2 linked regions of the Elephas maximus indicus genome follow. The protein of the gene in region 1 binds, or shares a complex with, the protein of each later gene. Links are inferred from orthologs where the notes say so. Each region holds a gene or a part of one and is shown in the gene's direction. Other genes may lie near its edges.

The links.
Region 2: the proteins of PDPN (region 1) and CLEC1B are in contact, whole or in part, in a crystal structure (PDB 3WSR), measured with the Homo sapiens proteins. The link is inferred for Elephas maximus indicus from reciprocal best matches to the Homo sapiens genes PDPN and CLEC1B. Residues at the interface, in NP_006465.4 of Homo sapiens: Ala46, Glu47, Asp48, Asp49, Val50; in NP_001380271.1 of Homo sapiens: Arg107, Phe116, Arg118, Arg152, Thr153, His154, Leu155, Arg157.

Annotation. Positions count from the first base shown.
Region 1 is NC_064821.1:52,777,583-52,793,662, forward strand, and holds the start of PDPN (podoplanin), read left to right. Parts: upstream 1-9,739; 5' UTR 9,740-9,962; coding exon 9,963-10,029; intron 10,030-16,080. UniProt on the Homo sapiens protein: Mediates effects on cell migration and adhesion through its different partners.
Region 2 is NC_064822.1:67,298,269-67,314,479, forward strand, and holds the start of CLEC1B (C-type lectin domain family 1 member B), read left to right. Parts: upstream 1-9,303; 5' UTR 9,304-9,409; coding exon 9,410-9,473; intron 9,474-9,500; exon of another isoform or gene 9,501-9,789; intron 9,790-10,094; coding exon 10,095-10,190; intron 10,191-11,236; coding exon 11,237-11,356; intron 11,357-11,516; coding exon 11,517-11,668; intron 11,669-13,268; coding exon 13,269-13,384; intron 13,385-15,589; coding exon 15,590-15,666; coding exon of another isoform or gene 15,667-15,734; exon of another isoform or gene 15,735-15,996; intron 15,997-16,211. UniProt on the Homo sapiens protein: C-type lectin-like receptor that functions as a platelet receptor for the lymphatic endothelial marker, PDPN.

The DNA of each region.
Region 1 (16,080 bases):
AATTCTAGCCAATAGAATTCAACAACATATCAAAAAAATAATTCACCATGACCAAGTGGAATTTATACCAGGTATGCAGGGATGGTTTGACATTAGAAAAACAATTAATGTAATCCACCACATAAATAAAACAAAAGACAAGAATCACATGATATTATCAATTGATACAGAAAAGGCATTTGACAAAGCTCAACACCCATTCATGATAAAAAACTCTCAGCAAAATAGGAATAGAAGGAAAATTCCTCAACATAATAAAGGGCATTTACACAAAGCCAACAGCCAACACCACCCTAAATGGAGAGAGCCTGAAAACTTTCCCAGGGAACCAGACAAGGATGCCCTTTATCACCACTCTTATTCAACATTGTGTTGGAGGTCCTAGCCAGAGCAACCAGGCTAGGTAAAGAAATAAAGGGCATCCAGATTGGCAAGGAAGAAGTCAAAGTATCTCTATTTGCAGATGACATGATCTTATACACAGAAAACCCTAAGGAATCCTCAAGAAAACTACTGAAACTAATAGAAGAGTTCAGCAGAGTATCGGGATACAAGATAAACATACAAAACTCAGCTGGATTCTTCTACACCAACAAAAAGAACATCGAAGAGGAAATCAAATCAATGCCATTTCCAGTAGCCCCCAAGAAGATAAAATACTTAGGAATAAATCTTACCAGAGATGTAAAGGACTTATACAAAGAAAACTATAGTACACTTCTGCAAGAAACCAAGAGAGACTTCCATAAGTGGAAAAACATACCTTGCTCATGGATAGGAAGACTTAACATTATGAAAATGTCTATATTCTACCAAAAACGATCTATACATTTAATGCAATTCCGATCCAAATCCCAACGACATTCTTTAATGAGATCGAGAAAGAAATCACCAACTTCATATGGAAGGGAAAGAGGCCCCGGATAAATAAGGCATTACTGAAAAAGAACAAAGTAGGAGGGCTTACTTTACCTGATTTTAGAACCTATTATACTGCCACAGTTGCCAAAACAGCCTGGTACTGGTACTGGTACAACAACAGATACATAGACCAATGGAACAGAACTGAGAATCCACACATAAATCCATCCACATATGAGCAGTTGATATTTGACAAAGGCCCCAAAACAGTTAAATGAGGGAAAAGACAGTCTTTTTAACAAATGGTGCTGGCATAACTGGATATCCATCTGCAAAAAATGAAACAAGACCCATACCTCACTCCATGTACAAAAACGAGCTCAAAATGGATCAAAGACCTAAATATAAAATCTAAAATGATAAAGATCATGGAAGAAAAAATAGGGACAAAGTTAGGAGCCCTGATACATGGCATAAACAGTATAGAAACATTATTAAGAATGCAGAAGAAAAACTAGGTAACTGGGAGCTTCTAAAAATCAAACACCTATGTTCATCCAAAGACTTCACCAAAAGAATAAAAAGACTACCTACAGACTGGGAAAAAGTTTTTAGCTATGACATTTCCGATCAGTGCCTGATCTCTAAAATCTACGTGATAGTGCAAAAAGTCAACTGCAAAAAGACAAATACCCCAATTAAAAAATGGGCAAAAGATATGAATAGATACTTCATTAAAGGAAACATTCAGGTAGCTAACAGATGCATGAGGAAATGTTCACGATCATTAGCCATTAGAGAAATGCAGATGAAAACTACAATGAGACTTCATCTCACTCCAACAAGGCTGGCATTAATCCAAAAAACACAAAATAATAAATGTTGGAGAGGCTGCGGAGAGATTGGAACACTAATACACTGCTGATGGGAATGTCGAATGGTACAACCACTTTGGAAATTGATTTGGTGCTTCCTTAAAAAGCTAGAAATAGAACTACCATACGATCCAGCAATCCCACTCCTCAGAATATATCCTAGAGAAATAAGAACCTTTACGCGAACAGATATATGCACACCCATGTTTATTGCAGCACTGTTTACAATTTTTTTTTTTTGTTTACAATAGCAAAAAGCTGGAAGCAACTAAGATGTCCACCAGTGGATGAATGGATAAATAAATTATGGTATATTCACACAATGGAATACTACACATCGATAAAGAACAGTGAGGAATCTGTGAAACATTTCATAACATGGAGGAACCTGGAAGGCATTATGCTGAGTGAAATTAGTTGCAAAAGGACAAATATTGTATAAGACCACTATTATAAGAACTTGAGAAATAGTTTAAACTGAGAAGAACACATTCTTTTGTGGTTACGAGAGGGAGGAAGGAGGGAAGGTAGGAGAGGGGTATTAACTAATTAGATAGTAGATAAGAACTACTTTAGGTTAATGGAAAGACAATACACAATACAGGGGAGGTCAGCAGAAACAGGAGTAATCCAAAAGCAAAGAAGTTTCCAGGGGTTTGGGGACCATGGTTTCAGGAGATATCTAAGTCAATTGGCATGAGAAAATTTATTAAGAAAACATTCTGCAAAGAGTGGCATCTGGGGTCTTAAACGCTAGCAAGCAGCCATCTAAGATGCATCAATTGGTCTCAACCTACCTGGATCAAAGGAGAATGAAGAACACCAAGGACACAAGGTAATTACGAGCCCAAGAGACAGAAAGGGCCACATGAACCAGAGACTACATCATCCCGAGTCCAGAAGAACTAGATGGTGCCCAGCTACAACCAATGACTCCCCTGAGAGGGAATACAACAGAGAATTCCTGAGGGAGCAGGATAGCAGTGGGATGCAGACTCCAAATTCTCATGAAAAGACCAGACTTAATGGTCTGACTGAGACTAGAAGGACCCCAGTGGTCACGGCCCCCAGACCTTCTGTTGGCTCAGGACAGGAACCACTGCCGAAGCCAACTCTTCAGACATGGATTGGACTGGACAATGGGTTGGAGAGGGACGCTGGTGAGCAGTGAGCTTCTTGGATCAGGTGGACACTTGAGACTATGTTGGTATCTCCTGCCTGGAGGAGAGATGAGAGGGTTGAGGGGGTTAGAAGCTGGCGAAATGGGCACGAAAAGAGTGGAAGGAGAGAGTGGGCTGTCTTATTAGGGGGAGAGTAATTCAAAGTATGTAGCAAGGTGTATATAAGTTTTTGTGTGAGAGACTGACTTGATTTGTAAACTTTCACTTAAAAAAAATCACTTAAAGCACAATAAAAATTATTTAAAAAAAAGGATTTGTTAAGGTGGATGGATAAAATGCACAGACCAAAATTTTATATAATTGTTTACATAGTGCCCTTATTTAGTAAGTTTTATCAAATCAAATAATGAAATTTTTTTTCCAGTTACAGTCAATCTTCATCGTATTTCTTTCAGCCAAGTGTTTAATATATTCTACCTTCAAAATATACTTGTTTAACTGTATGATGAAAAATAATTGGTTCCTAGTTTTTCAAAGCTCATTTTGGGGGTACATGAGCAAACCTGTGTGCAGCCCACTAGAATAATGAGTGAGATCGTTTAACTCAGAGCAGGAGGGGCTGGTTGTTCACTAAAGCACTCCTGTGTGGGGTGGGGTAGCCTGGGGGGGTCACCATCAGAAATCCAAGCCAGCTCCCAGTACACACTACAGCAGGTGGCAGGAGGCAGCCTCCAGATTGGGGTCACAGGAGAGAACCCTAGTTCCTGGGTGGAACTGGGGGGAGGGAGTGGTAGTTTGGTTTCACAGAGGAAGACTTGGGCTCAGGTTGTGGGACAGGGATCCAGAGTGGGCTGGCAGCAGTAAGTCCCAAGGTAAGGAGTGTGTCAGAGGAGACCTGGCATTCCATAGGGTTTTCCGTGGCTGATTTTTGGGAAGTAGATAAAAACCCATTGCCATAGAGTTGATTCTGACTCATAGTGACCCTATAGGACAGAGTAGAGCTGTTCCTTAGGGTTTTCAAGGGGCACCTGGTGGATTCGAACTACTGACTTTTGGTTAGCAGCCATAGCTGAGTCGCCTCTGGGTGGACTTGAATTTCCAACCTTTAGATTAGCAGCCAAGGACTTTAACCATTTGTACTACTCAGAGACTCCCCAAGGGAGGAATAATACCCCCATTTATTTTTTTTTTCACCCCAATTTCAAAGAAGCCGATACTGAGATTCTTGTTGCCTGAGGCTACCCATGGAGCTGGATGTTAACTTCAAATACTGGTTCTTTCCAGCAAACCAAGCTGCTGGGGGTTCCTTCAGGTCCAGTGCCACCTCCCACCCATGGCCCCCATCACATTCCTGCCAAACACATTTTGGGCCCAGCTTGTGCCCCAATGTATGATTTTCTCCTAGGTCACAAGGATGCCCTTGAGATCAGAGATGGAGCCAGAGGTATCTCATAGAAACCCCACGTACAGCAGAAGGAAACACTGCCCAGTCCTGCGCCATCCTCACAACCATATTGCAATGTTTCAGACCATTCCATCTTCAGCCCTCTGGATGGAGAGTCCCCGAGTGGAGGCTCTCACGGTGGATGCCCTGGATTCTTCTGGTCTTTGCTCGGCTCCTTCTCTTTCTGCACCCTGCTCCCCTTCCCTTTATGTGGTCTCCTGCTTTCTATAGGAGGAGCCCTGGTGGCTCAGTGGTTAAGCACTCCACTGCTAACCGAAAGGTCTCGGTTCAAACCCACCAGCCACTCCTAGGATGAAAGACATGGCAGTCTGCTTCTATAAAGATTTACAGCCTTAAAACCCTATGGGGCAGTTCTACTCAGTCCTATAGGGACTTTAAGTTGGAATTGACCCCTTGGCAGCTGGTTCAATTTGGTTTGTTTCCTAGAAGTAACTTATAGATCTCTCCTTCCAAATTCTTAAGAAGTACCAGCACCATTAACAGGCTCAAGCAGGGCCAGATTACACAATAAGCAAGGTAAGCACCGGCCCAGTTGTGCCTTCCCACCAACCTGCAGTAAACAATCTCACCTGTCTCTCTCTGTGTCAAAGATGTGGTGAAACCCATGTGAAATGGCTCACTGCAGATTAGCAAGTAAACACAATTAAGCCCGTGGGTACCTTGCTCAATGCAAGCCAATGTTTACCATGTTTACTGTTTAATCTGACCCTAGGCTCAAGTCCTGCTCCACAACAGAGGGACGCGTGATGCCACCACTCTTAAGCTGTATCATCCTGGACAATTTGCACAGACTCTAAGCCAATGGTTCTCAAAGTGTGGCCCCAGCAGCATCAGCATCACCTGGGAACCTGGTAGTAATGTAGATCCTCAGGCCTCCACCCCATCCTAATGAATGAGAAACTCTGGGGTGAGGCCTGGAAGCCCTAGTGGTTAAGAGATACGGCTGCTAACCTAAAGGTTGGGAGTTCGAATCCACTAGGTGCTCCTTGGAAGCCCTATGCGGCAGTTCTACTCTGTCCTTTAAGGTCACTATGAGGTGGAATTGACTCAACTGCAATGGGTTTGGTTTTTTTGGGGGCGGGGTGCGGGGCCTATCGAGCTGTGGTTTAGCCAACCCTCCAGGCGATTCCAACACACCCTGAGGAAGCTGCTGCTCTAAGCCTGCTTTGTTTTGTGCAAAATGGATGTTATCCATGTCCCTAAAACCCAGGGGTGTATTGAAGATTAAATGAGATAGTGCACATCCTGGCCACAGCAAAGGTCTGAACATGGCTGTCCTTGTTCCTGTGTCTGACATGATTCTCAGTCGCCACTTTAGGAGCACCAGCTGTTTCACGAGCATGGAAGGAAACTTCTGGCGCTTGTTTCGTTACTCCTCTCAGGTGGGCTCCTTCTCAGGTGTCTAAGCCCCAGTGCTTCCCAGCAGCTGCTTTAGCCCAAACCTGAGACACTCAGGTGCACCCTGGCTCAAACTTCTCACCCAGACGCCCAGCATTCTCCCTCATCCCACCCTGCCCCCCATTGCTTCCACCCTTCGCATCTGGTCCCTGGGTTCCCCCTCACAGGGCCAATAACTCTCCCTAGTGAGTCCCACCAGTGAGAAGCCCTAGTGGTGCCATGGTTAAGAGCTTGACTGAAAGGTCAGCGGTTTGAACCCACCAGCCATCTGCTCTGTAAAGATCGCAACCTAGGAAACCCTGTGTTGCTATTAGGTGCTGTTGAGTCAGTTCCGACTCATAGCAGCCGTACAGGACAGGGTAGAACTGCCTCATAGGGTTTCTAAGGAGTGGCTGGTAGATTTGAACTGCCAGCTTTTTGGTTAGCAGCTGAGCTCTTAACCACGACACCGCCAGGGCTCCAATATGGCAGTTCTACTCTGTCCTATTGGGTTACTGTGAGTCGTAATTGACTTAATGGCACACAGCAACATTACCTGTCCCTTTTGTCCCCTACAAGAAGGTCAGGTGATGATGCCCTTCTAGAAACTAGGCCTTTCCCTCTGGGCACCAAAACAACAAAAAAAAAGGACAAAAACCAAACCCACTGCCGCACAGTTGATTGACTCATAGCTACCTATGGGACAGAGTAGAACGGCCTCAGAGGGCTTCCAAGGCTGTAATCTTAATGGAAGCAGACTATCACATCTTTCTCCTGAGGATCTTTTGGTTAGCAGCCAAGCGCTTTAACCGCTGTGCCACCAGGGCTCTCTGGGGACCGTCTCTTTGAATAATAACCTAGCCCCAATCATCCTGCTAAGTTAACTGCGATTGACCGATCCTCCCCCACGTGATAAAGTCTTCGTTAGCTGACCTCCAGTCAATTCAGACTCATGGCGTCCCCCATGTGTGCAGAGTAGAACTGCTCCATAGAGTTTTCAAAGTTATGTGCTTGGCCACTAACCAAAACGCTGGTGGTTCGAACCCACCAGCCACTCCACAGGAGAAAGATGTGGTAGTCTGCTTCTGTGAAGACTTACAGCCTTAGAAATCCTGTAGGGCAGTTCTGTGTCCTACAGGGTCACTATGAGTTGGAACTGACTCAACGGCAACGTTTTTTTTTCCCCCTTTGGTTTTAACCTTTCAGAAGCAGATCACCAGGCCTGTCTTCCGAGGCGCCTCTGGGTGGGTTTGAACTACCAACCTTTCAGCTAGTAGTCGGGCACTTATCCATTTGTGCTGGGCAGGGACTTTAGTGGTAGAGGCCCAAAGTAAATTAGGGAAACCTTCAAGGAGATGGATTGACAACAATAGCCTCAACAATGGGCTCAAACATACCAAGGATCATGAAGACGCGCAGGCCCAGGCAACATTTTCTTCTGTTATACATTAGGTCGTCATGAACTGGAGTCAACTCAATGGCAACTAACAACTTTCATTTAAGCTCCAGTTTTTTTTTTTAATCTTGTGTCTCCAATTTCCAAGGGAAGGTAGTTTTGCTTTTGCAAAGCTATACTGGGGTGAGTGTTTGTGACACTGGAGTGAGTGAGGTGGGATTTGCAGCTCTTGTCCAGCTAGCAGGCTCTACAGACAATACATTTACCAGCCTGTCACAAACATGATTGATATTGGAATAATACAGTAATAATAAATGTACTGGAAACCCTGGTGGAGTAGTGGTTAAGTGCTCTCGCTGCTAACCAAAGGGTCAGCAGTTTGAATCCTCCAGGTGCTCCTTGGAAGCTCTTTGGGGCAGTTCTACTCTCGTCCCATAGAGTCACTACGAGTCAGAATAGACTCGACAGCACTGGGGTTTTTTTAGGAAACGTACTAGTAAAATCGGGGAGTCAGTTCAGGAAAGGTTCTCTTTTTCTAGCCCTAGTTTTCTCTTTGTTTCCAACCCCGTGGCTCTGGAGGGAAGGGGGTTGGGGTGACTTTCCCTCTGCCCTTCACTCCAGGCTTTTATTTTGTAGCCTGGGGGTGGTCAACAGCGGCCTCCCTCACCTGGGAGAGCTTTACAAATGCAGAATCTCAGCCCCACCCCAGCCTTGCATTTTAACTAACCCCCAGGTGATTCACCTGCCTGCTGAAGTTTGAGAAGCCCTGCCAGAGGGCAAAGTTTACCAGAAATCCCCTGGACAAATTCTCCTGGGGGACTAGTTGAAAATGCTAGTTTCCAAAGGATCTGATTCAATAAGTTTGGGGTAGAGCCCAAGAATCTGAGATTTTTAACAACCATCCCATGTGATTCTCCTAATGAAGTTAATTGGGAAACCAGATCTAGGATAAGGATCTGAAAACAACCATTTTTTTTTTATGGAGTGTTGAATGGAATTTACGACATTTGGGAGCGCACACCACGTCCCCAGTAACTCTTTAAAAAAAATTATTTTTTAAAAAATTTAAACAGTTCAGAAGGAAACACATTTACGTATATGCATATATCAAACCAAAAAAAAAAAAAAAAAAAAACCAAGCCCAGCACCCTCGAGTGGATTCCGACTCATAGCAACCCTATAGGACAGAGTAGAACTGCCCCATAGAGTTTCCAAGGAGCGCCTGGCGGATTGAAACTGCTGACCCTTTGGTTAGCAGCTGTAGCACTTAACCACTATGCCACCAGGCAAAATACAGTAAATAAATATATGGTGAGACTGTAAGAGCTGGGACTCCCCAGGACTGCCTTGTTTTTCCGGGTCTCGAACGTTTTCCACCTTTGACAGTCTTACCACTTTTCTGTCACTATTAGTGGAAAATATTTTTTTCCTTCTCTGACAGGTTTCTGCCTTACCCAAGTTCCAGCTTTCGCAGGTTTTACTGTATAAATAAATATGTATTTATATTATTTGTACCCGAAACCCACTGCTGTTGGTCGTTTCAGACTCAGATCGACCCTATAGGTCTGAGTAGAATTGCCTCTTAGGATTCCCCAGGCTGTAAATCTTAAAGGAAGCCGAGGCCACATCTTACTCCCACAAGCACCTGGTGGGTTCCAACCGCCTATCTTTGGGTTTGCAGTCCAGCGCTTTAGCCACTGCGACACCAGACCTCCTATACTTTTATATTCAGTAAATGCATATATATTACTTATATATTTACTTTATTGCCTTCCGAACTCTTATATATATATGTATATATATATGCTCTCTTCCTGTTCCTAACATCTCATACCTGAGCTCATGACAAGATTGTTTAAAGAAGCAAAGTAGAGATTATGTGGCCAAACTCCAGACTTGAGGAGGAGGAGCCCGAGCGAGAAGTGGACAAGCAGGCTTGGTGCCCAGGTGGGTCCCGTTTGACGTCTCCGGCTGCGGCTGTGCCTCCTCAGACGCTGCACCTCCCGTGTGGCACTGCATCTGCCAAACTCGGCATCCAGGGCCAGGAGAGGCGGGTCCCTGCTCAGTGTTTTTCAAAACGGCCCAAGCCACCAAGTGCGTGCGCACAGTTCCCCACCAGCGCCTGTCCGCTCCGGGCGCCCGGGACAAGGGGGCAATTTAGCAGCCCGAGCCGCCTCTGGCCCACCCAGATGAGAACGCCTGCCTTGGTTTTCTTTAGTCATCAAATTCAATATTTACAGGAACCATCCCATGCCGGGATCTAAAATGACTGGCCACACAAGGAACCGTTGACTTCTCGCTTCAGCACATAGCAAGAAAAACACAGCTTGATGCCTTACTCTTAAAAAATGCAACAACAAATAGAGTCAGAAAGAACCGCTCATAGCACTCCCCCGCCCCACCTAGGCGCTCCCCTTGCCTCCCGCTGTTGGTCAAAATAAAAGCCAATTTGGGGAGGGTTCGGGCTTCGCACGCGTCCTGGTAGCCCCCGCAGCTGCCGGCCTGTAACTTTAAACCTGGTCTGAGATCATCGAGTTAGCGGCGGCCAAGCAGAGCCGGGGGGCGGTCCTAGTGCGCCTCGGTCTGGGACCACCTTACTGGACCCGCTCCCCGCCCTCGTTCGGAGAGATAAATGCTGACTCCGCTCGGAAAGTTCTGAACTGCAAAGTTTGCTCTCCTTAAGGCGGGCTCCTCCGTTAGTTGCAGTGGAGGAAGCTTGGGGACTCCTGCTCTGGGCCTTTTGCTCCCCGCATTCCTATCCCGCTCTCCTGGTCCTTCAGGCGAGGGCTTGGGGCCACCAGCTTTTTATCTTTGCGCAGCACAAACACTAGCTTCTCGGCCCCAAAGAGAATCAGCCAACTAAAAGCATGTTGAAGGTGCCGGTTCTGCTCCTCATCTTGGGAAGCGCGTCACTCTGGGTCCTGGCAGAAGGAGGTAAGAGCCAACACGAGTGATACCTTCCATTGCTGGTGGGAATGATCTGAGACTCGCTGGAAGGCTTTGCCTGGTTTGTGAGGTTGCCCAGGAGAGCGGAAGGAGCTGCGGGTGTATGTGCGAAGCTGGTGCAGAGCCTCAAAGAAGCAGATGAGCGGGCCCCCAAGCCACGGGCGTAAGGTGGGGGCAGAGGGGCCTCGCTCTGGTTCAGCTGACCTCCTGCCACCCCCTGCTCAGCTCACAATGCCAGTTTGGGTTGGAGATAACAGGAGCAAGCCGTTCTCCGTGGCAGGGGAGACCGGGCATTCCCGCAGGGCTGTGTACTGGAGGGTTACCGCGGCCAAGGAAATTTGGCACCGGGAGTCCAGAGGGACCTGAGGTGGCGGGGCGGGGTGAGAAGGGAGGAGGATTCTTCCTGCTTTTCCTCTTTTTCGGCTGCCAGGTCTTAACACCCTGTGGGCCAGCATGCAGACACACTCCATGCTGCCCATCGCTGGGCAGGTACTGGAAGAGGCCTCAGCTAATGAGGATAGCTGTGTGGAGGGGACAGAAAGAGCCAAAGTGTTTCCTGACTGAGTAGCCTGAACGAGTGAAGGATTGTGAAACCTGAGGTTTAAATTCGTTTGGGGCCACATATTGAGTCTGGCCGATGTCAATAACTGAATTAATGTCGTGATTTCTTTAAATAACTTTAAATGTTTAAGATTTTGATGAGGAGGGATGCTACCTGCCCCATCACCAGCCTCTTTCCTCTTCCCTTTCCCATTTCCTCCTCTTCCTCTTACATCTCCTTCACCTCCCTTTCCTCTTTGTGCCCAGCCTGCTGGTGATATCCATGATCAGTGGTCAATATTTTATTTTTACCTTGGTTTTTATTTTTATTGGTTTGCCAGGTAGAGTAGAAGCTCCTGAGGACACAGCTCCATCTAGTCTTGATCCCTAGGGTCAAAATGGTGTCTGGCACGTAGTAGGGGTTCACTAAGTAGGTTGAAGGCATGGTTAGCCCACTAGTGATGCTTGGAGTTGGAGGGTGGTGAGCTGGGCTCTGAAAAGTTAAACACCTTCATTGTGCAAATTGAAGAGTGAGCTAGACCTAGACTCAGAAGGATCCTTCCTGGAGGGAAGAGTTTGATGGAGGGGGCAGACCTAACCTAGGTTTCTATAATTCCATGCAGAGACAAAAATATCCCACCTTACAGAAATTATACAGGTTGCCTACTCTGTGCTAGACAGCGTGGGGAAGAATGGACTCTCTTTATGGCCCGTGGGCTATTCCTGCAGTCCTATCTTTGGAACTCTTGTTTCCTCTGGAATATATACAGTTGTGTATATCAACTGCATTTCCTTTTTGGTGAGACAATGTGCAGATGACACCATTTTGTGCTCACCAGTGAGAGGTGTGGGAGGCCCCCCAAACGGAGCCCCATCCCAGGTCCACTAAGGACAGCAGCTGAGCATCACCCTCGCTTCTCTCCCAGGGAAGGGTTAGTTGTAATTAAAGCCGTTCCTGAATGTCCAAGGTACTCCTAAAAGGCGGTGTTAAGTCTTGTCTGCAAAAACAGCTGCGTTTGGTTCTAGAAACGGGGTTGCTGAAGAAAGAAGGTCTGCTGACTGTGGGGAGGGCTGCCGGGAGCCTGGAAGGAGTGAGGCCCCAGCGGGGTTTTTGTCTGCAGATAATGAGCAAGGCGACTTGAATATGGATGAATAACTTCATTGAGCTGAGCTATTGTTGGTGCTTGTTGGGGACCTGGGCTGGGGGTAATTATTGTGATGAATTTTATTATCCTTCTCATATGATCCTGCACCCTACTGGGCTTCTCTTATGCTGTGTTAGACTCTGGCTCCATTTTATCATCTTGTTCAGGGTGCCGTCTCTTTGAATATTAGTGTACTCAAAGGAGATCCGTTGTCCGCTCATCTGGCATTTTCTGCCATTGCCAAGCCCCACTCTCTGAACTTCAGTCCAAAACCCCGACCTCAGGGCCTCTCCATGAAACAGTTTGTTTTGTGAGATTCTGCAAGCTGCTGCTTGTTGCAAACACACATGTGCTTTTCCGGAACCCAGCCACCCGAGATTAATCATGCAGCACACAAATTTCCCTGTGATTTCCCGGGAATATTTGCCAATTTCGGAGTCCCTGAGATCTGGTGGCGTAGTGGTTGTGTGCTCGGCTCCTAACCGAAAGGTTGGAGGTTTGATCGAACCCACTAGCTGCTGCACAGGAGAAAGATGTGGCACTTGGCTCCCAAAAAGATTATAGCCTTGGAAACCACAAGAGGCAGTTCTGCTCTGTCCTATAGGGTCTCAGTGAGTTGGAATTGGTGGCAATGGGTTGGGTTTTCTGTTTTTTTTTTTCTTTTTTTGGAGATCATCATGAGCTGGTGAGAGTTTCGGTTACACTTAGCCGTGGAGCAAGCCTTTAAAAAAGAACAGGTCTGTTAGAGGCTTCGTGAGGGAGACCTAGCTGTTACACTGGTAAATGAGATCCAAATTATCATATAATATAGAACTCGTTGCTGTCAAGTCGATTTGGACTCATAGCAACCCTATAGGACAGAGTAGAACTGCCCCATAGGGTTTCCAAGGAGCGGCCTGTGGATTCGAACTGCCGACCTTTTGGTTAGCAGCCAGACACTTGACCACTGTGCACCAGAGCCCCTATAATACAGAAAAGCACATTAAAAAAAACAAGTATCCAAATATGAGAAGGCTAAGTGTAGATGTGGCCAAGTGGGTTGAACCTGAGGGATACGGCCTCTTCTCATTTTTTCTGGCCTCTGAAGTGAACGGCATCTCAGCGATTCCGATTCATGATGACCCCTTGTGTCAGAGTGGAGGTGTGCTCCACAGAGTTTTCAAGGGCTGATTTTTCAAAGTAGATCACCAGGCCTTTCTTCCAAGGGAACGCCGGGTGGACTTGAACCTTCAACTTTTTGATTAGCAGCTGAGCGCATCAACCGTTTGCACCACCCAGGGACTCCGAGTGACTCTTTACCAGGGAATTAGAAGACCCCAAACCTTTGCATGACAACAGATGGTCTGGCCTGGTAGGAAGGCCACCCCGCCCCTCCCATTCCCGTCTCCCACCACGTGCAGGAATGTCACAGGCCACCTCATTTACTCATTGCAAGTCCCGTAAATTATACGTTATCTTCAAACTATGCCAGAACTGGGAATCAGAAATGGGTCTGCCTCCAAACACCAAGCTCTTTTCACTCCGTTACGCTGTCTTAAAGAAAACCAAAGGTTGAACTTGAAATTAAAAGTTAACCTCACTTTAAGCTCCTTACACATGAAAACAAAAAAATTTTTAACTTATAAAAACATTTTTTAAAGGTATAAAAATTACATTAAATACCATAATCCTTTACGGGTAAAAATATCCCCCTACGTTAAAATGGAATTCATTACTTCATCCCACAAATTGTTATTAACTATCTCCTGAGTGCTTGGTATGTTACTAGCTGCAGGGTTTATTTCTCTGTACACTTTAGAGGCAGGCACGCCTAATGTTATAAAGCGCCAAAGCCGTGAACCTGCACTTTAAATTCCACTGGCTTATCTGAATAGTTGTCATATTTCTGGCCCAAAGAACAGGCATGTCAGGTTACAACTTGTTGGAAGTATTATGGGGGAGGACAAGGAGGGAGAGAAGACTCGATACCCAGAACGACCCTTGAGAAACTCACATGATACGTCTGAATAAGATCCTGCAAGATTCTTTAAGGAAGCCATGCCTTCCCTGTCGCCACTGAAACCTGTCCAGGAAATACCAGCGTGAGCATTTTGTTCAAGGAGAATGAAATGCTTGAGGCATGAGGGTGGTTTGTGTACTTATAAAGACAAGTGAATAGTTAACTGAGATTTGTTTTAGGATTCCCAGAGGGGTGGGCAGGAGATAATGCTCCTCTTGATTGGAGTTAAGGTACCCTGGTGGCCCCATGGTTAAGCAGAAGGTTGGTGGTATGAACCCACCAGCTGCTCCCTGGGAGAAAAATAAGGCGGTCTGCTTCTGTAAGGATCACAGCCTTGGAAACATCATGGGGTAGTTGTACTCTGTTCTGTTGGGTTGCTGTGAGTTGGAATCGACTCGATGGCAGTGGGTTTGGTTTGGGTTTGATTGGAATTTTGAAGCCTTTCCCTACTGATTTCCTAAAATTTGCTGGGAAAGGCAAATGGTTAGATAATTTATCCAACTGTTAGGACATGGAGCGAGGGCAGTGGTGGTTCAATGGTAGAATTCTCGCCTTTCATGTGGGAGGCCTAGGTTCGATTCCTCCTGGCCAACGCACCTCATGCATAGCCACCACCTCTCTGTAAGTGGGGGCTTCCCTGCAGCGAGGGCCTGTGTGTTGCTATGACGCTGAACAGGTTTCAGTAGAGCTTCCAGACTAAGATGGACTAGGAAGAAAGCCCTGGCAATCTACTTCTCAAAATCAACCATTGGAAACCTTAGGATCACAGTGGTCCAGTCTGCAACTGATCATGGGGATGGTGCAGGAGCAGGCAGACGTTTTGTTCTGTTGTGTTGTGCATGGGGTCGCTGTGAGTAGGGGGCCCGACTCAAGGGCGGTTCACAACAATAGGAGATGGAGCCAGGTTAGGGAACAACTAGGATTCTGCCAAGTTCACCCAAGACAGGAAAACCAGGTGACTGTTTCCTTTGCATGTGTCCAGCCTCAGTGCTCACCAGCCAGTCTGCTCAGCATTCCTTTACCCTTCAACAGAAAGGGACGGATGGATGGGCTGTTTCTCCTTCTCGGCTGGCTGAGTGCCTTTGACAACTGTTAAGAGGAGATGGGCTTGTCCTTGGATCAAGCGAAGTCCAGGAGGAAGCCTACAAACGTGGCCAGCTCATTCATATAGTTGCTTGGGGAGCTGAATATGGATAAGTTATTACAACATTGAATTTAATGCAGCGAAACTACCTAAAGGATGATCGCCTTTCTGGCAGGAAGAGGTACTCTTGAACCTTGGTCAGAGGGGCAGAGCAGCAAACGGTTCCAGGGCCGCAGAGAGAGGACATCACACATGGGCAATAATTGTCATATATGTAGTATGTAGGAGAATGGCAGGAGTCCCTGAGTCGTGCAACTGGTTAAGCACTTGGCTCTAGCCCAAAGGCTGGTGGTCTACCCAGACACATCGAAAGAAAAGCCTGGCCATCTACTTTCAAAAAATCAGCCACTGGGAACCCTGTGGAACTATTTCTTTTCTGATACACATGGGCTTGCCATGAGTTGGAACCAACTCAGTAGCAATTGGAAGAAAAAAAAGAGGGGAATGCCAGTTACACAGACCATAGGAAGGAGCAGGAGAGGGCTTGTTTAGAAGATTTGTAAATGTACTACTGATAAGAAGAGGGTATTTCCCAAAATTTGTCAAGATGACTCCATTGAGGAAAAAAAAATGCAACTAATGTAAGAAAGAGGTCTCTGGGTAGAGTAAGCACTTTATGATCGGCTATTAACCTAAAGGTTGGGGGTTTGAACCCACCCAGTGGTTCCACAGAATAAAGGCCTGGTGATCTGCTTCCAAAAAAGATGACAGCCAAGAAAACCTACGGAGCAGCTCTGTGTTGTAACACCTGGAATCCCCATGAGTCAGAATAGACTTCGCAGCAACTGGGGTTTGGTTTGATGTAAGAAAAGCTGTGGTTCAATGAATAACATCCTGCCCGAAGGAGAAGAGGCGGTTTGCCTAGAATATAAAAAGGGACAGCAAAGGAACAAGAATCTGTTGATGTTAAACTTGCCCAAGAAATTCATTTATTGTACAAATATTTATCAGCTGCTGTGAGTCAGGCAGTGGGGGGCAATGGGGAGCAAGGCAAACATTGTCTCTGCTTAAAGCTGGCATGGAAGGTGTTCTGTCTGATGGCCGTGGGTGTTCTGATCTCAGCAAAGGCGGGTCTGAATCAGGAGTCCCAGCTCTATCGGTCTGAAAATGTATTCCATCAAACAGCCTCATCCTTGGCTTTTGTTCTGTGTACTGAACAGCATCTCATATTTTGCTACTGAGAATTCATGATTTGGATAGCCAGTGTGTGT
Region 2 (16,211 bases), on another chromosome or scaffold:
TAGCCAAAAGGTGGATGCAGTCTAAATGCCCATCAACAGACGAATGGATAAACAAAATGTGGTACATACATACAATGGAATACTACTCAGTCAGTAAAAGAAATGAAGTCTTGATACATGCTATAGTATAGATGGAACTTGAAGACATTATGGTGAGTGAAATAAGTCAATCCCCAAAGGACAAATATTATAGGACCTCACTTATATAAAAAGATAAGAAAAGGTAAATGTATAGAGATCAAAGTTTATTAGTGATTACCAGGGATGGGATGGAGGGGGAAAAGGGGGTTAACAGAGATGGAAAAATTACACTGAGTAAGGGTAAGTTTGCACAGCCAATTATTGTAATTGCTGTCAATAGTTGTATACCTGTACAAAGTCGAACTGGCAGAAGCTGTATGATAGATATATTGACAACGATGATTTAAAAAAAAAAAAAAAAAAAGAGTAGCTGCTGAGGCTGCTTATGTACAACCAAACACCTCATGGGATTTTGTTCCTTGGTTTGGAAGTTTAGGGTTGTGGTTTCATGGGACATCACAGTTAATTGGCTTAATAACATGTTTAGTGCTTTGGTTTCACCTTCTTGTTTGTTGTGTAGTGCCTGGGGTCTTAAAAGCTTGCAAGTGGTCATCAAAGGCACAGCAATTATTCTTTATTCTCCTGGAGCAACAGAGGAAGGAGAGTCAGGAATAGGAGGAGAAAATGGACCACGCGTGGGCTAATTGCCTCCATGAACAACTGCCCCTTTGCCATTAGACCAGAAGAACTGGATGGTGCCCACTAACATTACTGAACATTTTGATCAAAAATTCCGTAGAAGAATCTCAATCAGAGGCAGGAAAATGTAGTAAAGATTTCAAATTCTCATGGACTCCCGACTTCCTGGAGCCATGGCGGGTAGACGAACCCCTGAAACTATTGCCCTGTGATAATCTTTAAACCTTAAACAAAAAATATGCCCTGAAGTCTTCTTAAAGCCAAGTAATAGTTTAGTTTAACTGGTAAAAAGGTCTGCCCTGAGCATTATGCTCTTTTAAGAACTGTCTACATGGGATCAAATTGACAACAGCAACTCGAAAGATTAGATAGGAACTTTAGGGGGCAATAAGCTTAAGTTAACAGGGGAAGAAAAACTCAGAAAAGGGGGTGAGAATGTTGCACAATTTGAAGAATGTAATCAGTGTCACTATATCGCATGTGTAGAAACTGTTGAACTGGTATATGTTTTGGTGTGTATATTCTCAACAACAAAATAAATAAAATTATTAAAAAAAAAAAGAAAAGAAGAAGGTATGTTAGCAAAGGTGTGTTAGCAGGCAGAGCAGGCATAGTAGTTTCATAGAGAGCTCCCAAGATCCTCAAGGTAGAAGCTCTGAATGTTTCAGTAAAGGAACAAGTGTCTTCTTTACATGTGACAAAGGCCAGCTAATACTGGTTGGAGATATGGGATCTGATTTATACTCACCCACATCAGATATCAAGCAGAGACACGCATACTAAGGCTGGAGGAACTGTGTAGTTAAAGGCCATACACCCCTGACTGCTGTTGTAAGAAACCCAAAGTGTGTGTGTGTGTGTGAGAGAGAGAGGAAGAGAAAGAGAGAGAAAATGAGACAGAGAGAGGTATGGTGTTGGTAATGAGGCATGGAGAATAAATGGATAGCTATTAAAATTGTACATGAACAGGATTTCCCTTCTGGCATGGATAAGTTCCTACCAGAGTGATCAATCTGCAAATAACAACCAAATATTTAGGGCAAGATTTTTAAAATAACTACCTGAAGTTTCAAGAGAGTGAAAAATTTGGAAGGTTCTAGAGAGAATGAGACTGGCACATAGTGAAGTATTTTTTTAGTTTTGTTTTTGTTTATTTGGCTTTTAACCTGAGGACAACCCACAGCCACAGTGCCCTGCAGAGCAGCTGAATCTCCAGTGGAAAACATGCAGTCTTTCAGGCCTGAAAAGTCAGAAGATGGAGTTTGGGGCAACCACAGCCCCTGGAAAGTGAGTGGATGGCCATGGAAAGGAGGCAGTGAAAGAGAAGGAGTCCCAAATCCTATGTATAAATTCTCCCCAAATATCTGTCTTATCTTGAACCATGAGTACATGGAAACAGACTTCAAATAAAACCAAACTCACTGGCATGGAGTCGATTGTAACTCATAGTGACCCTATAGGACAGAGTAGAACTTCCCCATAGGGTTTATTAGGCTGTAAATCTTTACAGAAGCAGAATGCCTCATATTTCTCCCACGGAGCTGCTTGCAGGCTCAAACTCAGCAGCCTAGCGCTTTAACCTCTGTTCCACCGAGGCTCTTCAGACTGCAGGTAGCTCAGCTAAAACAGAAAGAATGGGACTGAGATTTAAGCTGCTTTCCAAGAGACGAAGTTTGAAGTTTGAGTCCAACCAAGTTAATGGCCTACTGCAACAAAAATAACAACATTCTTCAGAAGAATATAACAGAATTTAGTCTCCATGACATAACATGGAATGCAGGAGGAGTTAACATCATAGAACCTTTACGCATTAAAAGATAAACTGAATACATTAGGAACAACTTCATGCCAAAAAAAAAAAAAATAGCATAGATAAAATAGAAAAATTTATTGAATTATATACAACTTTCCAAAGTTAGCAGAAGTTGAAACAAAAAATCTGAGTAGCCCTATATGTATTCAAGAAATTTAATTTTGTTTTCAAATTCTCCCACAAGAAAACTCTAAGCCAAAATGACTTCAGTGATGAATTCTATCAAATGATTACACAAATCTCACCAATCTTACACAGACTCTTTAAGAAAACCCAGGAGCAGGAACGTATTGATATGAACATATCACTCGTAAACCTCATATCGTTTGATGAAGTTAGGGTAACCATAGTACAAAAAGCCTCACAGCCTTTGCAAGAAAACCAAAATAAAGGCCAATATCTCTCATGAATAGACACACAAAAATTCTTAGCAAAATATTAGTAAGTGAAGTCTAAGAATACATTAAAATGATAATAATGATGGAGTAGGGTTTATCCCAGGAAAGCAAGGTTTAACACTAAAAAAATTACTCAGAAAAAAGGAGAAATTCATATAATGATTTTATTACATGAAGAAAAAGTATTTGACAAAGTTCAACACCCATCTATGAGAAAATGTTCAACAAAGTAGGAATACCATGTAACTTTCCAAATCTGATAAAAGGCATCTATGGAAAATTTCTGATTGGTATTAACGTCAGTAGTGAAATGGTGAACATTTTTCCCCTAAAATCAGGAACAAAGAAAGGATGTTAAGTATGTTTATAAGAATTGTATCGGAGATCCTAACCAGTGCCATAAGGCAGTAAAAATAAAGAAAACAGAGACTGGAAACAAAGAAATAAACAATCTCTGGTTCCAGATGACATGCTTTTTTTTTTTTTTTTTCCATAGAAAAGCCAAAGGAATCTACAAAACAGCTCCAGAACTAATCAATAAAATTAAAAATATCACAAGATACAATCTTAATATACAAATATTTATTGTATTTTCTATAAACATTTTCTATACCTGCAGTAAATAACTAGAAATGAGGCATTTTTTAAAAATCATCTTATATAGCACAAAAAGCATAAAATACTTAGAAAAAATATAACAGAATATTTGCAAGATCACTACACTGAAAACTACAAAACACTGCTGAGAATGACTAAAGAGATCTTAAATAAATGAAGACATATACCGTGTTAATGAATTGGAAAAATGATACCATTAAAATAGTTTTCCTCGAATTTATCTGTACATTCAATTCAATTTCAATAAAAGTCCTAGAATTAAAAAGTAGATACATAGATTTTAAAATCAATATGGAAATGCAAAGGACCTTAAATATCCAAAACAACCATTTTTAAAAACAAGAAAATTGGAGCACTTATACAATCTGACTTCAAGAATTGCTATAAACCTGCAGTATTCAGGATAGTGGGATATCGGAATAAGAATTAACAAATAGATCAATGGGACAGAACAAGGCCCACAGATAAATCCCCTTATGTACATACACAAAAGGAGCCCTCATGGTACAAAGGTTAAGCGTTTGGCTGCTAACCAAAATGCTGCCAGTTCAAACCCACCAGGGGTTACACAGGAGAAAAGACCTGGCAATCTGCTCCCATAAAGATTACAGCCTAAGAAACTCTATGAGGCAATTCTACTCTGTCCCATCAGGTAACTGTGAGTTGGAATTAACGCTATGGCACACAACAACAATACGCCCATATTCATATGTTTGTCTTATTTTCAGCAAAGGTGCCAAAATAATCCAACAGAGAAAGGAAAGTATTTTCAACAAATAGTGTTGGAATAACTAGATATTCATATGGAACACTGGATATGAGGACCCTTCAGATTGTTTTGTACCCTGAAGCCTCTGTGAATCCCCTAATCTGATACCCCTCTCTAACCTCAAACTCGTAAATTGTACCTTCCAGATCATACAGGCAGTCTTCAGCAAACTTCACTATATTTATCTCAATCTTTTCACTCTAAACTCCTTTCATTTTCTTGCTCTAACTGAAGCCTTTTTTTTGTTCCCAAGTCTGAGGTTTAACTCATCTTGTTGCAATCATCTGCCAAATTCTGAAACATTCCTTCATCATTTTCAACTTATTAATGTCTCCTTGCTCGCCTCTACTCCTGTCATAATCACCGGTGATTTTAATATCTTTGTAGGTGAATTATAAAGTGGGTTATCTTATGGTATAATCTGATAAAATGAGCTAAAAAGATGTTGGAAGTTTTTAAGGGAAAAAGGTATAAAAGCAAAAGTGAGGAGTAAGCAGATGACCTAATTCATTGCCAGGCCCAGCAGTACAAGATGTGTGATGATGTGTGGACAAGAAAATATCTACTGCTTGAGAGAACTGCAGGTAAACTCAGGAATTAAAACAACATCAACAACAAAAACACCTCCCTTGTTCCTCACTGTCCCCCACCACACACACACTATCACCCCTTTTCTCTAATTTCTCCAATTCTCTTAACAGTAGAAGTGCTCAAAAAGCTGTCTATGCCTGCTGTGTTTCTTTCTGCTTTTCCTGAACCTCACTCTAGTCAAGCGTTTGCAATAACTGTATCTCCAAAAGGTATCGCTGGGTGGTGCAAACAGTTAACTTGCTTGGCTGCTCATTGAAAGGTTGAAGGTTGGAGTCCACTCAGAGCTACTTCAGAAGAAAATTCTGGTAATCTACTCCCCAAAATTCAGCCATTGAAAACCACAGTTCTGCTCTGACATACATGGGGCCACCGTGATCTGGACGAGCTCGTTGGCAACTGGTTTATTCCTACAAAATCACTCCCGTCAGAGCCACCATTTAGCCTCCACATTAGCAAATAAAATGGCTGTTTCTCAGACTTCAACTTACTTAACCTATAAGCAGCATTTGTTAATATCTTTCTTCTTTGGTGGCGTGGTGGTTAAGAGCTCCCAGCTCCTAACCAAAAGGTCAACAGTTCTAATCCACCAGCCATCCTTGGAAACCCTATGGGGCAGTTCTACTTTGTCCAGTAGGGTCACTATAAATTGGAATCGACTTGAAAGCAACAGGTTTGGTTATCTCCAAAATACTTTGGTCCTCAAGACAACATTCTTTCCTGGTTTTCCTTTTACTTCACTGCCCATTTTTCCAGGCTTGATAATTCTTCACTAGCTTTTCAACTTCTAAATGTTGGTGTGCCCCAGAGTTCAGTCCGCGACACTCTGTCTTCTGTTTACATTCGTCCTTGAATGAGCTTTTCTACATTCATGGCTTAAAGTAGCAGACATGCACTAACCTGTTAAAACTCATTGCTATCGAGTTGATTCCGACTCATAGTGACCTATAGGGCAGAGTAGAACTGCCCCATAGGATTTCCCAGGAGAGCCTGGTGGAGTTGAACTGCCAAACTTTTGGTTAGCAGCCATAGCTCTTAACTGCTACACCACACTAATAACTCTAAATTCATATTTGCACTCCAGGAACTGATCTTCAGGCCCATATATCTGACTACAGATGGGCATATTTACTTATATACGTTATAGGATTTTCAAACCTAACATACCCAGTAACAAACAGCCTTTTCCCAATGTGTCCCATCAAAGCTTTCTCATCTCAGTAAACGAAACTCCTTACTTGCTATTCCTCACCCAAAAACTTGGAAACATCTTGGCTTCTCTTCTTACTCTCACGTGAATAAATACATCAGAAAATCTTGTTCACTGTGGAAAATAAGGGAACACAGAAACACAGGTACTAAATATGGAAGTATTGCCAATTTAAGCCAAATTAAAGAAATGCTGAGTTTATACTACAGGAAGCTATAATCTCACTGTTTATCAATGATCATTCCATTCCCACAAGGTATGCCTGTTTCAGAGAACATTTAAAAAAAGTGGTGCAGATTGAATAGCACCCGGAGAATGGCCAGAATAGGAATTAATTCAAAATTATTTACAAAAAGGAAAAGGAGTAAATATTCAATCCAGAGGTATCAAGGATCCAAAGAAAACAACCAAAACCTACAAAAAAACCAAACCCACTGCCATCAAGTTGATTCTGACTCATAGTGACCCTATAGGGCAGAGTAGCACCGCCCCGCTGGACTTCCAAAGCTGTAAAACCTTACACATGCAGACAGCCACAAGAAGAAATTAAAATCAGAAAGAAAAAAAATGGCCACAAGGAGGAGCAAGAGGATAATTATGGGATGAAATTTATTTTAAAAATTATATTCACTCAATCTGGATACTAATAACATAAAATTAAAGTACTTATATGTGTGTATAAGACTGGCAAGGCAAAGGTGAACCAGTAATACTAATGCAGAGGGATGGATAATAGAATAGGATATCACTGATCATGCACCCAAGACTTTACCTTAAAGGAGGTGTACACTAAAAGATCTATAACAAGCTATCACCAGCTACAAAATGTTCACATCCCTTTTTTTCAATTGGAAGCCATTATTTTAACACCTGTAGTAGGTAGGAAGCATCAGTTTCTTGTCTCTTTTACACATCATTGTATATTGACCAGTGACATCCACAATGTTTTACATTCCAGTAATTTCCTTGCTTATTGCACTTATACCTTATCATTGTGATCCTAGTGACTTTTCATCCATTCTTCAGCATAAACATAGACAATGGAGTCGGACAATGCCTAAATTTGAAAGACATCATAATGTCATTGAAAGAACCTGAAACCTGGGTAAATTATACTGCTATTTACACAGAAACAAACAAACAAACAAACCCATTGCCTTCGAGTCAATTCCGAATCATAGCAACCCTAAAGGACAGAGTAGAATTTCCCCATAGGGTTTCCAAAGAGTGCCTCATGGATTTGAACTGCCAACCTTTTGGTAAGTAGCCATAGCTCTTAACCACTGTGCCACCAGGGTTTCTATTTACATAGAAAAGTACCCAAAATACCTTAAATGTCTCTTTCTACATGTATAAAATTAGCATGGTAATGCCCATTGTACATATATTCATTCATTCAACAAATACTTATTGGGTGGAAACGATCTGCCAATCTCCATTATAGAGGCGTGGAATACATTCTCGTGGGGATAAATGACAAAGATTTAAATATATAAAAAGACTCTATGTGGGTCAGATAGTGATAAGTGCTGTGGAAAAAAGTGAAGAAAGGAAGAGGGAAGGGAATGTGGGCTGGTATGTTTGAGTGTGAAGAAATTGTTCTAAATAGTCTAACGAAAATAGTGTGTTGTCTAATTTAAGACTCTGTGCACCAAGTGGATATGGACTATGATTTTCTCTATGAATATTCAACTCCAATTACAGTGTCTGATGCATACTGAACATTCATTAATTATTTGTTTAAAATAAAAGAGATGGTTTATATAAGAGTGACTTCTTAATCTCTAAACTGTTGAATGAATGAAGGTTTTTATTCCAAGTTCAGACTCATCAAAAATTTGGAATAAAGAACTTTTTTTCAGGTACAGTTCCCTGAACAAAAAAAAAAAAAGGAAAAAGGGCTGTGTGTGTTGGGGGGCGGGGGAGAAGACAAAATAACTACTTTCAACATAAGCTGAAATAATAATTTGAAAGCCTAATTAATAAAGGTAATATGTGGAATACACTATTATATTGTGAGGTAAAGGGAACTGGAAACCACCCAGTCCCCAAATAGTTCTTCATCCAGGCACCCTATACTTGAACTTGCGTGATTCTACTGAATTAAGATTCTTCCATTCCAAGAAATTCACTGCAAAGTAAAAATATTACTGAAGGGCTATACATCAATTTGAAGCCCTAGTGGTGCAATGGTTAAAAACTCAGGCTGCTAACCCAAAGGTCATTGTTTTGAACCTACCAGCCACTCCCTGGAAACCCTATGGGGCAGTCCTGCTCTGTCCTATAAAAATCACTATAAGTCAGTATCAACTCAATGGCAATGGGTTTGATTTTTTTGATAGTACAGCAAGTCATTAACTCCGGATAGTGTCATTTTATTTGTCTGTTTTCCTTCAATGCCTAAACCTAAGTCGTATAAAGCCAGCCCTATGTGGACTCCTAAATTTTTTGAAAATTTGATTTATTAGAGATACAAGAATTTGAATGAGTTCTAGGACATAATTATGAATAGTTCGTTCCAATACAAGACCATGGAATTTCTAATTTAGGCAGTATTTGATCAAATTATATTAGACATGTTCTTCTGCTGGTGTTTTATCCATGATTTTCCACAGAAGTCACTTCATTTAAACAATATGATTTAGGTTCTATGAGGGAAGCAAGGATGGTGAGACTTCATCTCAGGTACTTTGAATATGTTATCAGGAGGGAACAGTCAATGGGGAAAGAAATCATGCTTGGTAAAGTAGAAGGGCCTCAGAAAAGAAGACACTCTATGAGATGGACTGACATGGTGGCTACAACAATAAGTTCAAACATAGCAACGATAGTGAGAACGGTGCAGGACCTGACAGTGTTTAGTTCTGTTGTACATAGGGTCACTATGTGTCAGAACCGACTCAATGGCACCTAACAACAACAACAGGGTTAAGATGAAGTATGAACTTCAGAAAAATTTTTGGTTCTTTGAAAGGATACACATGCTGGAATATCTCTTTACTTTAAGCTGAAGATGAGGAAACAGGAAACAAATGCCATATCTACTCCTTTACCACAATTTATTATTTTTGCTTTTTATTTATTTATTTTATGTTCAATGTCCATGTATCTCTGAACAACTATGAAAGGGCTTCCTGGAAAAAGAATAAACAAAACATGTGTCCTAACTCATACGGCTCCACTCTCCCAGTTGAGGAGGATCACAGACTGACAGACTTTGGAATCTTAAGAGTGGACACTACATTTTGCCAAGTCACTGGACCCCTGAGCTCACTTGCAGTCCAAGTGAGGCCATGCAGGATGAAGATGGATACGTAGCCTTAAATATTAAAACTCGAAGATCAGCTTTCACCTCAGGTAAGAATGCCCAGAACCAAAAATCTGGAAATTAATTAGTAAAATAAGTCAACTCTGTTTTCCCTTTTTCTACTAGAGATAATACATACAGCTTTGTTTTTTGTTCTGTTTTGTTTTTCCTGAATGATGTTCTTTCTCTATAGCCCTTAGTAGTATTTACATAGACTCAGACTTATTTAGAAGAAAGACAACACAGGAGACATAATAATGAACTTGCATTAAGGCTCCTAGAGTTTAATGCTGGATGGTGCTGAAGTGAAGGATATGGGGTAACAGGGGAAGGAATGTTTGGAAACCACCATTTTCCAGGATCCTAGTAAGTGGGTATAATTCTTAAGTAGTTGCCTATTAAAGAATATTTATGGGGGGGAAGGGGAGTGTACACAAAACAAAACAAACAATAATGTCTTAACAGCTGGGTTATATTTTGGCTCAGAGAGGGGAAGTCCATTGGTGATGGGGATGGATGTGTGGTATGGGAGTGGGTTGTGCTTATTGTTGATGATCAACAAGGAACACAGGCAAGATCTTGGAAAATTCCAAGAGGCTGGGGCACAGGTGACACTGTCCCATAGCCATGCCCTATTACTGCTCCCTGACATATTTATTGTATGTCCACAGCTGACCCTGTGTCCTCTTTGTGGCGTGTGATGGCTTTTGTTCTTCTGATCTTGTGCACAGGGATGGTTGTTGGGCTGGTAGCTCTGAGAATTATGTGTAAGTATTGACTCACTGACAAGGGTTTGGTCTGAGGATGGCAATACCTAAGGGTTTTGGTATATCACACTAAGTTTCTTAATTGTCCTTCCATTTGTTACTACTCCAATCATACTATATATATAGTTGCCAAGATTTTCTCTGGCCTTTACCTCTTGATCAAAATCACTTTTTAAACTGTTTATCTATTAAAAATTTAAAAATTATTTTCAAGAATTTTAAACTAGCCTTTAAGATTCTCTTGAGTATGAATGCAAGTTATATTTTGAAATCTTTCTTTCATCATTGCATATCCTCAGATCCAGCCAAACCAGGGTCTTCTCAATTTCATAAATAAATTCTGTATCTACCTGCCTGAAATTTTGCCTATCCTATTCCCGCTTCTTAAAATACCTTCCTTCCTATTTTGTTTACAAATTTACTTACTTCCTCTAAGAGACAATTCATATCCCACCTAACTGATAAACATTGTTTTTTCTTCCTGTAAACCTAATAGCCCTACAATGTCACCTTTTACTTTAGGTAGTTTTTGATTGTTTGAATACTTGTTTTTTCTTTTTTTCATGAGATATTTAATAATCTTTCATTCACGATCGTTCATACACCTGAATCTCATAGTACTTTGGGCATAGCATGAAATCAGTATGTATTTTTTTCAGTGAATGAATATTCTGGTATGACATTAAGAGCAGAAAATAGCAGAGGTGTTCACTTCTGTTAACACTGTTTAGAAACCTGCATTTAATAAAATGTCAAAACAATTGCTTTAGGTGTGTATTTGTTCATGAGATTTTCTTATTTGTGACTGTTCTCCTTAAAGAGTTCACTCATTTTATTAGATAACTCTCAAGTGTCAGTTTTCTATATATATATTTTTAAAATATTCCCCTTTGCCCATATCCCTTTGTAGGTATCATTTACTTATGTGTACCTTGTAAACACTTCATAGCACGGCAATTCTATTAAAATGAAAGTTTATTGAAAAGCCTTTGCGTCACACTTAAGGTCCTGATTACAAATTGTTATTATCTAATTTTTACATTTAGCTGTCACACAGCAGAATCTCCTACAAGCTGAGAATGAAAACCTTTCAGGAACTCTGCAACAATTAGCAAAGCGCTTCTGCCAAGATTTAATAAAACAATCTGAACAAAAAGAAAATTTCAGTAAGTGTGGTTTGGTAACTCTTGATCTCCTCTAACACCAGAGTATTTTTTTGTGCTGGTATTTGTAGTGAATCTTGAGATCTGCGGGAAACACTGAATGTGGGGAAAATGTAAGCCTGATTTAGAATGAAATGGTTCCTATGCCTGATCTCTCCTTAAGGCCATAAGTGCAGCCCCTGTGACAAAAACTGGAGATACTATGGGGATAGTTGCTATGGATTCTTCAAGCACAACTTGACATGGGAAGAGAGTAAGCAGTACTGCTCTGGCGTGAATGCTACTCTTCCGAAGATTGCCAGCCAGAACATTCTGGTAAGGAGATTCTTAGGTCAAATGTTTTGGAGTTACGAGAAGAAACTCTCAAATGTAACATTTGGCTTTGTTTATATTTTTCTTACGTCTTTCAGTCTGTGCTAATCTAAAAACCTTATCAAGCTCAGTAAAAATGACAACATTTGAGAGTAGAAAGTGCTGATTTAGGGCTCAAGGGACTTTGAGGTCTTGTCTTATCTTTTCTGTAAGTAATTTAACCTCTCTCAATTTCCTTACCTCTATTTACTAACTTGGAACAGAATCCGAAAGTCCAAAAAAAAAAAAAAAAAAGCTTGGCAGTTCAAATCCACCAGCTACTCCTTGAAAACCCTATGGGGCAGTTCTACTCTGTCCTACAGGGTCACTATGAGTCAGAATCCACTCGATGGCAATGAATTTGGTTTTGGTTTATAGAGAGAGGTTAATTGATTTATGTACTAATTCAACAAATATATGTTAGAACTATTCCAGGAATTTGAAGCTTTGCAGTCACTAAAACAGACAAAAATTCCTAATCTCATGGAATTTATATTCTACAGACAATAAACAAAACAAATAGATATAGTATAGTGTTGTTTTTGTGTGCCATCGAGTCTATTTCCACTCATAGCGACCCTATGGGACAGAGTAGAACTGCCCCATAAGTTTTCCAGGCTGTAAATCTTTACAGAAGATTTACAAAGACTGCCACATCTTTTTCCCTAAAATAAGCTAGTGCATTGTAACAGCCCACCTTCCAGTTAGCAGCAGAATACTTAACAACTGCACCATGAGGGCTCCATTCATAAAGTATAGTACACACACACACCTGATGGTGATAATTGCTAAGAAGAAAAAATAGATGAATGTTATTTATAATCCATTTGAGAAAAATACCATGTAATTCTCTTTTAACCCATCAACTAAAACAAATTATAACTTCTACATGAAAGATTTTATAGACAATCTAAGCAAAAAATAAATTCAGATAAAGCTTACTTCTGGGGCATTAAAGTCTTAACAACGATGATTTCCTTTTCTATAGTCGTTTACCAGTTGCCATCAAGTCAGTTCTAACTCCTGGAAACTCCGTGTCTATCAGATAGAACTGTGATCCACAGGGTTTTCTATGGTTTTTTTTTTCTTTTTTAATTGCCAGATCTTTTTTCGAGGTGCCTCTAGGTGGACTCCAACCTCAAACCCAGCACATCAACCATTTGCACCACCCAAGGACTACAGTCATTTACTGTTTACTCCATTTCAGGGTCATAGTTGGTATTCTCTTTGATACTCTAATCTTCAGTTGATGGAAGATATAATCATATAAACACAGAAGAAGATTAGAATATTAGATATTTTGTATATAATTTTTCTTATGCCCTATAAATATAAAGGGTTTTTTTGTTTGTTTATTTGTTTTTTAATTCTAAAACAAGCCAATTTGGTACAATTTTAAGTCTCGAATATAAGGAGCCCTGGTGGTGCATGCATTAATATTAATATAAACATATAATCCAACATTTCTTTTTGTCAAGGGTCTTATCATGAAACTTTGTCTTTAGGTCATCACCAAGAGCTTTGGAGGCATTCTGACCTTTATGTTTATTTGTGTTTACAACAGGAGTATATCAAAGCCAGGACTGGTTTGATACGTTGGGTAGGATTGTCTCGCCAGAACTCTAATGGAGTCTGGATGTGGGAAGATGGCTCAGTTGGCTCAGTTTTCTCCAAAAATATGTAAGTCACTGAACATTCAGAGTTCAAGGCACTGCTAGCAATTTTTGTTTCTGAGATTCCCTTCCCTCTTGAGTGCAAGTTACTTATAATTTGAGAGGAGCTCTATATCTTACTATGGGTTACATAAACAGCAGCTGAGTCACACATGCCCTACTCCAACAAAAAAACACTGGTAATAAAATAACTCAACCTTCCCCATGCTCTTATTCTTCTCTTTATCTAAACCACAATTCACATGTATTCTTCATACTTTTTTTCCCATCCATTTTTGCCCTCAACTTTACCTTTGAAGCATTTTATGTTTTCATTTTTCCTTTCTATAATTGTCTTCACATATTTTTAAAACAAAATTATTATCCTCATTATCTTATGGCTGAAAATTTTTGCCTTGGAGGTCCCTTTAACTTTTCAGTGTCATCTGCCTACTTTCCCAACCTAGGCATCTCCAAGAATCAGTCATATTTTAGTTCACAAGGAAATTCTAATGTTCATGTAAAAAGGCTCCATTCTGCTAGAGGCAATCCAGCCAAAAGGGCCAATTGCATTAGGAGTTACCTAATATGCCTTTTCTTTATGCTGTAGTGGCACAGTGGTTAAGAGCTCAGCTGCTAACCAAAAGGTCAGCGGTTCGAATCCACGAGCCACTCCTTGGAAACCCTACAGAACAGTTCTACTCTGTCCTGTAGGGTTGATGTGAGTCTGAATCAACTCTTGGGCAATTATTTTTTAATATGGCTTTTCAGTCCTACCACCGTCTATTCAACCTATATATGAAAGCTGCAAAGTCTCTCTAATCCAAATATAAACTACATTCAAAATCTATAACGTGAGAACAACTTAAGTTATTAACTATTCACCAAATAGTTATTATTTACTGTAGGGTCAGAACATTAAGATCACAAGCAAGCCTCTTTCTAAGTCTTGGGCTTTATCTCTTAACACTTATTAACTCTTTCACAATATTCTAGACAAACTGGCCTTCCTTCTATTTATCGACAAATCAGTCTTGCTTAGTTGTCTTAGGGCTTTTGTACTTGCTGTTCCCTCTACCTAGAATGCTCTGCTTCCAGAACTCCGTAACTGGCTCCCTTTGTCACTCAAGCCTCTGTTTAAATAATATTTCCTCAGTGAGAGTAATTCTAATCTCTCAAACTAAATTAGCCTCCCTGGTATCTACTCCAATCAAGGTCTATCATATCATACTCTTGTTTCTTCACCAATTTTACCAGTTCTCTGATGTTATTTTATCTGTTTATTTGTTGGCTTCTTAGCAATATCCTCCTACTATAACATAACCTCCCCAAGAAAAAAAACCTTTCTTTGTTTACCACCATATCCTCAGCACATACACAACTTTAGCACATAGGAAGGGTTCCATAGGTATTGTCAAATAGATTAGTACATATATATTCCTTGGCGTTTCATCATAAGGAATCTAGTAAGAGATACCAAAAAACCAAACCTGTTGCTGTTGAGTTGATTCCGACTCATAGCGACCCTACAGGACAGAGTAGAACTGCCCCATAGAGTTTCCAAGGAACACCTGGTGGATTTGAACTGCCAACCTTTTGGTTAGTAGACGTAGCTCTTACCCACTATGCTACTAGGGTTTCCCTAACAAGGAATACAGACAGATTAATAGCCAATTATAATATAATGTGTTGTCTTTTATCTACTACCCTATAACAAATTTTCAGTTCAAAAATATTTAATCAACTCATTTTTCCTTGAGTTCATTCCTATCTTGTGCAGCTGTTTGCCTTGCCAGGCCCTCCCATCTTATCTACACCCTACTTGTCTCCTCTTACCTAAGTCCTACTCTTGCTTCAAGACAGAACTCAAGCCTCATCTTCTAGATAAAGCCTTTACTCACCTTTTCAGACCCACATCCATCTCTTCCTCTGGACTCCTATTGAGCCTAGTGTTCACTTACTATTTAAATTTATTGTATATTAAATTGGTATTGAAATTTTCAATTGCTATGAGTCAGAATCGACTCAATGGCTGTGGGTTTTTTTTTTTTTTTTTTGGTGTATACCTTCCACTCCCAAGCATATTGGAAGTTTCTCAGTTGCATGGATCTTGGTTTATACTCCCCCCTACTCATTGGTTCCACTTTCTGCCACAAAATTCTGCACACAGGGTTTGATTGTTGATTATTTATTTAGCTTTCAAGTAAACTCATTCTACCTTTTCCATTTATAGGCCTGAACTTCCAGGAGATGGAAGAGAAAACATGAATTGTGCTTATTTTCATAACGGGAAAATCCACCCTTCCTTCTGTAAGAACAAACATTATCTAATATGTGAGCGGAAAGCTGGGATGGCAAAGGTGGACAAACTACTTTAATGAGAGAGATGAACAGGGTATCACAGACAAATGATTGATTATACAATAAAAAGCCTTGATGAAAGAATCACAAGCCATAAAATTTCTTATTTCTCCCTCTCTTCAGCATGGAGCCACCTTTATATTATCTTTGTATCCAACATCACTTAACCTTTTCTTTATACATCCACAAGTCAGCTCTATGAGTTGATCATTTGCTTTCCAATTGTTCTGCTTTCCATTAATTTCCTTTCTTCCTGTCTTTCATTCCTCATTATCTGGACTTTGTATGATTCATTCTATATTCAGACGTTAACGTATAAAATTAAACTTGGAACAGTAAAAGGTTAGGGCTTAATTGGCTTAAGCTATGAAAAATGTCTGCATTTGAAAGACAGCATAAGATAGTGGAAAGAGTACTGAATTTGAAATCAGTAGAATAATTTAGATGGTGTGGTCACTTAGCTGAAATATGATCATGGATTATTCAAGTAGCCT